Linked DNA regions of Rattus norvegicus. The protein of the gene in region 2 interacts with the protein of the main gene of each other region in a biochemical or structural test. Links are inferred from orthologs where the notes say so. Each region holds a gene or a part of one and is shown on either strand. Other genes may lie near its edges.

Region 1 (4,212 bases), on a different chromosome or scaffold from region 2:
GGGAAGCTCCTTGCTACCCTACAGTGTTCATGCCAGGGCCACTGGAGCCCTTCTCATACGGCAGACAGACAAGGGTGCTTGGGATAGGCTCAGCAAGTCGAGGGTCACAGAGGCCCAGATTGATTCAGCCTTGCTTCATCAGCTTCTACCCAGGCCAGTTCTTCCTTCCTTCCTTCCTTCCTTCCTTCCTTCCTTCCTTCCTTCCTTCCTTCCTCCCTCCCTCCCTCCCTCCCTCCCTTCCTTCATTCATTCATTCATTCATTCATTTTTATGTGTGTTGGTGTTTTGTGTGCATGTATCTAATAGAAGCTAATATCCTAATATCTAATAGAAGCTAATATCCTAATATCTAATAGAAGCTAATATCCTAATATCCTAAGCTTCTCTATGTCATTTTTTCTGGCCATTTTCTTTTAAAACAAGTTTTTAACCATATAGCTTAGGCTGGCCTCCAACTAGCCATCCCTCTGCCTCACCCTCTTCCCTCTGCTTTTCTAACAAATATTTATTTGCTTGATTGCTCATGGATTTAAAACGTACAGATCCATACCTTGTACTAGAGTTTGAACCTAGAGCCTTGTTGAGCATTCCAGGGAACCACCATTCACTAAGGTCAATCCCTGGCTCCCATCCTCTACCTTTTGAAGTCTTAAGGGCTCAGCTTCTGTGCTTCCTGCATATGTGTGTGCGTGCAGGTGTGCATGCACTTGCTCATATATAACAGCACTCACGCTGAAAGTCCTCTTCCATTCGTAGTATACATAGCTATAAAGTAAAGGCTAGACCTCACCTGTCCCATCTCAGGTGGGCCTGCCATCTAACCGTGTGATCACAGAAGGGCCCTGCCTGCCTTGTGTGACTTCTCCCTACCTTGTCTACTTTATTTTCAGCACTTGGGCAGTTCCTGATCTGCCAGTTACTATAAAGCACACCAGGGAGAGCACCTGCCCCTCCTGGTAGACACGGGCTCTTTTCTGTTGGGTGTGTGCTGAGAAGGAAACACAGACATTTGTCTGTATAGAGGCCTCAGGACAAGCTTTCCTGGACCACATAGCACCTGCCCGGTTTCAGAGTTTCCCTGGACTTCCTCCCCTCTAGTCTTCCCGGCCTCGTTGGCCTTCTTGGTCATTCTGTGGGGCCTGTAAGGACTGGTAGGCACCCCTCTGGGACTCTTAGGTCTGTGTGTGTCTACCTGAGGCTGGTTAGAACAGCCCAGGACCCACATGTCACGGACCACGGCTTGCACTCCTTTAAGGAAGAAGTGATGATCACAGTCAGGGTGGGGGTCATCTCATCTTCAACTTGATTCTTTTCCCGCAGCTCTAATGGTACCAAGTAACAGACCGGCCTTCCTGTAGCACGGGGACGCCAGATCTCAGAAGATGTCGGCTATACAGGTATCGTGAGGCTGTGGTCCCATGTCTTGCCCTCCCCAGGCCAGACAAAGAATAGGTACTAAGAGCAGCTTGTTCCAACCATGCCCAACCCTCCATCCCAGTCAGGACTTTGTGTGAAGTAACACTAATTCCAGTGTGCTCTGTCGGGCACAGGGCCCCAGAGAGGGCTACAGAGGAATTTGAGCTAGAAGGGCTGAGAACTCTCTGGAGAAGTTATCTCCCCAGGTTCATGGAGGTTAGCTAAGATGCTTTGGTCTCAGGGGCATTCGGGCAGGTTGGTAGAGAAGCTCCCCAGGCTGCACCGACACCTGTCCCTTATCCTCTAGGCCTCCTGGCCATCCGGTACAGAATGTATTGCCAAGTACAACTTCCATGGCACTGCCGAGCAAGACCTTCCCTTCTGCAAAGGAGATGTGCTCACCATTGTGGCTGTCACCAAGGTACTTGGGACCTACGATGCCTGTCCCATCACCTCCAGGGGTTTCTTCTGGGTTTGGTTGCTTGGCCGAGGGAGGCAGGCCTCAGAGTGTGTCTGTGTTGTTCTCTCTCCAGGACCCCAACTGGTACAAAGCCAAAAACAAAGTGGGCCGTGAGGGCATCATCCCAGCCAACTATGTCCAGAAGCGTGAGGGTGTGAAGGCAGGCACCAAGCTCAGCCTTATGCCGTGAGTACCAAGAGGACGGAGGGCTGCAGTCTCCTGGTTTGGGGGAAAGAGGAAATGGCAGTGGTCCTCCTGGAAAGGCATCAGAGCAAAACAGCCCTGAGTTAGGGCTGTGAGGTGAGGGCGTTCTAGGGATGGGGCCAGAGGCTGGAGCTAATGGATGCAGAAGGAAAAAAGGGGTACAGGAAGAAGATGACGCCCTTAGATTGGGAGTTCTGGGAAGGTGTGTGCAGGAGGCTGGCGGAAGCTTCCGGGTCAGCACCCTGGTGACGCCCAGCCTTGCCACCCGTAGCTGGTTCCACGGCAAGATCACACGGGAGCAGGCGGAGCGGCTTCTCTACCCACCAGAGACAGGCCTGTTCCTGGTGCGGGAAAGCACCAACTACCCTGGGGACTACACACTGTGTGTGAGCTGTGAAGGCAAGGTGGAGCACTACCGCATCATGTATCACGCGAGCAAGCTGAGCATTGATGAGGAGGTGTACTTCGAGAACCTCATGCAGCTGGTGGAGGTGAGTGGGGAACATGCCTGCCCGGGGTGAGCCCCCTTCTCGTACACTCGCGCCTGAGTCTACCTGAGGACACTTAGGACAAACCCAGACCCAGCTCACCTGGCAGGGTGACCTGGACATGTTGATGGCTTCTTTGAGTCTGAGGTTCCTCACATGTGTGGAGCACCACCTGTGTGAGAGAGCTCAGTTCTGTCCCCAAAGGCCCACAAATAGGGTGGTATCCCCATTTTATAGATAAGGACACAAAGGTTCAGATCAGTGAAGGTCCCCTCATCTGTGCAGGGGAAGCACTCGTGTGATCCGGAACTCACTTCTTCCAGCACTCAGAGCCTCTGGGTTGCACACTGCCGTCAGGATCCTTGAGACTCACAGGTCCTTGATGCTTCCAACAGCAGCTCCACCCAGCTCTGGCCAGGCCATATCTGGCATCAGATACCTATAGGTTCCCTCCAAGCTCGTTCTCATCTCTGGCTTACATTGGCCCTGAGTACACCTGGTAGAGGCTGGTATAGGGAGCAGGCAGGTTTTGCTATCTACCTTGAGATATTGGTGAGGCCCAAAGCAGTAGTGGCAGTTGGGAGTCCAGGAGCTGAGTGTGGATAGGGCGATGTGGGAAATGGACAGGCATTATACCCTTCTCGAAATGAGGAACCCTCTCCGCACAAAGCAGCTCAAGGTTGTGTGGAATGGCCTCTGCTGCCCTCTGGTGGTCAGACCTGAACAGTGCGTGGGTCAATGAGAAATGGGGCCCAGTAGGTCTGGTTCTGAGGGCCTGCCCCACCTCTGCAGCACTACACCACAGATGCCGACGGACTCTGCACTCGCCTCATCAAACCAAAGGTCATGGAGGGCACAGTGGCGGCCCAAGATGAATTCTACCGCAGTGAGTGCACAATGTCTCCGATCTCCCACTTGCCCACTTCCCCTCACCCGGGCCCTCTGCCCTTACCCTAGAGGCTTGGAAACCCCAGACACCCACATCTAAAACAGTTTAGCCTGTGCCTATCATCTCAAGTGCTTCAGATTAGCTGTTCACTTCCCTGACACACCGCCTCCCTCCTGGTCCCTGTCCCCAGGTGGCTGGGCCCTGAACATGAAGGAACTGAAGCTGCTACAGACGATAGGAAAGGGGGAGTTTGGAGGTGAGTTGAGGGAGTGGGGGTGGGGGGATGAGGTGGGGGAGCCCCAAGAGTCCAGGAAACAACCCCTGCTTCTCCCACAGATGTGATGCTGGGGGATTACCGAGGCAACAAAGTTGCAGTCAAGTGCATTAAGAATGATGCTACAGCCCAGGCCTTCCTGGCTGAAGCCTCTGTCATGACGTGAGTTGGGCTGGACATAAGAGCAGGCCGCCTGGGTGGAGTGTGGCGGGGGATGGGCAAGCTGAACTCTTGACCACCCTGTCCTGCCACAGGCAGCTTCGGCACAGCAACCTAGTCCAGCTACTGGGTGTGATTGTGGAGGAGAAGGGTGGGCTCTACATCGTCACAGAGTACATGGCCAAGGTAGGTGCTCCTCAGCCTCAACCTGCCTGTCCCACAGCCCCTCCACTCTGCCCCTGCTGAGCTTTGAAGTTGTCGGGCCTGGCCAGTCGTTTATTGGCCAACTTTAAATAAGACCTTTTCAAACCTCAGTTTTCTC
Region 2 (3,619 bases):
GTATCTGTTTCTGTCATGTCTGTCTGTCTATCTATCTATCTATCTATCTATCATTTATCTATCTACCATCTACCTATCATCTATCTATTATCTATCATCTATCTATCATGCATCTATCTATCATCTATCTATCATTTATCATCTACCATCTATCATCTATCTATCATCTATCATCTATCTATCTATCTATCTATCTATCATCTATCTATCATCTATCTATCGTCTATCATCTATCTATCTATCATCTGTCTATCTATCATCTATCTATTATCTATCTCTCCTTTCCTCCTTTCCTACTGTTTCTCTCCTCTTCCTTCTAGAAATGCCTTTACTGCCTGTGAACAAGGACATCTTCTGTCTTCTTTATGTTTGATCATTCATTAATCACCATTTTAAAAAATTAACATTTACAAATAAATGTTAAATTTAATTAGAAATTTTCACTTCTTTCTCCCCAAATGTCTAGAACCCCTTTCCATTAAATAAGCTTTATCCTGTTATTAATTCTATTGCCAAAATCTGATGACTATAGTCCCTATTTTATGTTCAAACACTTAGATTTGCCTGAGTTTTATTAGTTTCTTTGCTTATTTTATTTCTGTTAGAAGCAGGCCATAATTGTGGAAAGAAGTTTTAGAGTACAAAGCAAATGATGGTATAAAAAGAATGAAAGAAAAAATGAATAAAATGGGAATAATTCATGCAAACCATTTCAACTGTTCCTATCAGTCTTGCAACAGACACAATTTGAAGAACAGAAAAGAACTTTAGTTAGGCTTGTATAGCCTAGTTTTTAAAATCCACCTTAAATTGCATTTAAGCTTTTTTCTTTACTGATATGCTTTCTGTAATTCTATACCATTATTTTTTGTGATTCTCCAAAAAAAGAATGAAAACCCATGAAAGAAGAAGAAATTTTATTTATTTTATAAATGTCAGTGATATACTTACTCCCAAAATCAGTCTGCACCCTTCTGTCTTGTTTTAAAAGTATTACGTTATTGTAGAGGACTTCCGCAGCACATGTGTAATTTGTTCGGACTGTAAGGTTGTGTAACCAAAGTGTTCCGTGTTTGTCCAAAGCAAATGTTTTCATCTCTGAAAGAAAAGTATTGCTCATGAGTATATGAAATGATACACAGTATAATGGCTTCTTTTATGGCACCATGCGCTTAAGACTTTATGGTAGAGCCAGGCCTCTGCAAATGGTGAACTCATAAGCCAAGATCCTGCAAATAGCATTGCTATGCTCGACTGAGTTGAGAAACCAGCATTGTGACTTATTTTTTAAAAAAAAATTGATAACTCATGATATATTTGTTCCATCTATGAACATACTGCTTACAGCTTAGGCCAGCAACTTCCCGTTAGGGCGTTGACAATCAGGGTGACATTTCCACTTCTGTGTCTGTATGTATGTGCCTTCCTCTGTCTTGCCAAATGTGTCCTGGCACACGGCTATATGGCCAGAGGAGAAAGAATCCACCTTATTGAACTCAAATATATGTTTTAAAAGACCCAACCTCTATAGAAACCCAAGCTCACTCACAGAAGCACTTGCTCTCCTTGATACCCAAGGATTTTTGGACTTTCAAATGATTTTCATTTATGTATCTCTGGTTATGTATAACACTCTGTTTCCTTACTACAGACTGTAAATATCATCTTTCCTTTTTAATGCTGGCATTTCATCATCCTTTCAAGAATATCTGATACATAGAAGTACTCAAGAAAATTTGTCTTTTAAAAGATGTATTTATTTATTTTATATATATGAATACATTGACCTGTATTCAGACACACCAGAAGTGGGCATTGGATCCCCATGACAGGTGGTCGTGAGCCACCATGTGGTTGCTGGGAATTGAACTCAAGACCTGTAGAAGAACAGTCAGTGCTCTTAACCACTGAGCCATCTCTCCAGCCCAAGAAAATTCTTTTAATTAATTTTTTGCAGTATGTATCATCCACGGGTTGTTCTTTTCATTTATCTACTTTGTGAGTTTGTTTCCGTGCCAGAGGCACCAGGGTTATTTCATTCTACTTTGTGGTGGGCCACTCAGGGTGGGTGAGGAGGACAAGAGCCTTTAAGCCACATCTGGAATAACTTCTGATAATAGAGCTTCTCTGCACAGTATCATACCTGGTGTACAACGGAAATTGTATGAAATCTTTTGAATGTCGCAGGTAAATTTGTTTTTTATTTTCCACTCCAAACAAATTGAGGTATTAGCTTCTATGTCTGGTGTGCAGTTTGTTAAGTTAAAGTTGTGAGTCCCTGTGGAGAAAACATAGAAGTGCCTTTAGGTTATGGTTCCTGGCGTGGAGATGTGAAGCTTCACAAGTAAAGACTCTGAAATCACACCCATGAAGTCCACTCTTGCAAGTGGAAAATTTCACTGGGAGGACTCTAAGCTCTCCCAGGGTCTGATGCCTCTTGATGATCTATTCACACTCCTAACTTTTAATTTATCTTTGTTTCGGTTGACGCATAACTATACAAACATGTGTTGGCTCTATCTACATAATGTGTAGTCGCTGTTTGCAGGCAGTCTGTCTATTACCTCAGACTTTGGCATTCATTAGGGAAGATAGCACATTATCTCTATACCACAGATTTTAGTAGAACTGTACGCTGCTTTCTTTATAAATGCAACTCAGGGAAGCATCAAGATAAACAGCTGATTTTCCCATTTGAAAAACAATTTCTCTGGGCTTTTGATGCTTGTCCGTTGATCTATTTTGGGTTTTGGAAAGAAGGTGTAATGTCACACCATAGCTCGGGCTGGTACAGAACTCATGATGCAGCCTAGGCTGGCTTTGAACACATAAACTGCTTCTGCCTTAGCCTTCCACATTCTGAGTTCACAACTTTGGTATTAACATGACTAGAACTCCCCCTTTGATTTTTTTCCCCCAGAAAACATTAAATGTTTAGCTATGTTCTTTTCTCTAATGAAAACACTTTGAATTTAAAGAGAAATACCAGCAGTCTCATGTAAAATTAATTCACAAAATACAAAGTAGGCTGTTTCTAATCCATAGGAAGTGCTTTCTTGGTGGTTTGCCGTTGTTGTTTTGGTTTTTTGTTGTCTTTTTTTTTTGGCTTGTTTTCTGTTTGTTTGTTTCTTTGTTTGTTTGTTTTGAAACAGCGTTTCTCTGTGTATCCTTGGCAGTCCTGGAGCTTGCTCTGTAGACCTTGGCTGCTGTTGAACACTGAGATTTGCCTGCCTCTGCCAAATGCAATGTTGAGATTAAAGGGGGAGGGCCACCGCCTCCCAGCTGGGAACCTCTTTGTAAAAGAAACAAGAAAGACAGGCGATGCTCCTAAGGAATAGGTATGTATTTCTCTGTGCTCTCCAGGGTTCTCAACAGGGAACACACTTAACAAAGCTCACTTGCTTTCCCTCACTCTTTTTTTCTGACCACATTAGCCTGAAGAGGCACCAGAACACATATATGAACTCTCCCTGCTGTCCTAAATACACAGATAGAAGGAAGTTGACATTCACCTGGTGGTACATCTAAATTTATAATTTTATCTGGAGTACATGAGCCATTGGAGAGAGTGACGTTTTTCTGTGAGCATTCTGGTAGATTTTTTAACTCTTTTTCACAA

What was found. The genes of interacting proteins can lie anywhere in the genome.
Region 1: of the proteins of Ptprc (region 2) and Csk, one has a biochemical effect on the other in vitro, tested with the Homo sapiens proteins (2 studies listed by IntAct). The link is inferred for Rattus norvegicus from reciprocal best matches to the Homo sapiens genes PTPRC and CSK.

What each region holds. Positions count from the first base shown.
Region 1 is NC_086026.1:66,927,398-66,931,609, reverse strand, and holds the start of Csk (tyrosine-protein kinase CSK), read left to right. Parts: upstream 1-1,335; 5' UTR 1,336-1,382; coding exon 1,383-1,397; intron 1,398-1,723; coding exon 1,724-1,837; intron 1,838-1,949; coding exon 1,950-2,062; intron 2,063-2,351; coding exon 2,352-2,571; intron 2,572-3,360; coding exon 3,361-3,454; intron 3,455-3,647; coding exon 3,648-3,713; intron 3,714-3,793; coding exon 3,794-3,893; intron 3,894-3,985; coding exon 3,986-4,076; intron 4,077-4,212. UniProt on the Homo sapiens protein: Non-receptor tyrosine-protein kinase that plays an important role in the regulation of cell growth, differentiation, migration and immune response.
Region 2 is NC_086031.1:52,193,680-52,197,298, forward strand, and holds part of Ptprc (receptor-type tyrosine-protein phosphatase C isoform 1 precursor), read right to left. Parts: coding exon 3,513-3,619; intron 2,279-3,512; coding exon 2,144-2,278; intron 1,099-2,143; coding exon 952-1,098; intron 1-951. UniProt on the Homo sapiens protein: Protein tyrosine-protein phosphatase required for T-cell activation through the antigen receptor. Acts as a positive regulator of T-cell coactivation upon binding to DPP4.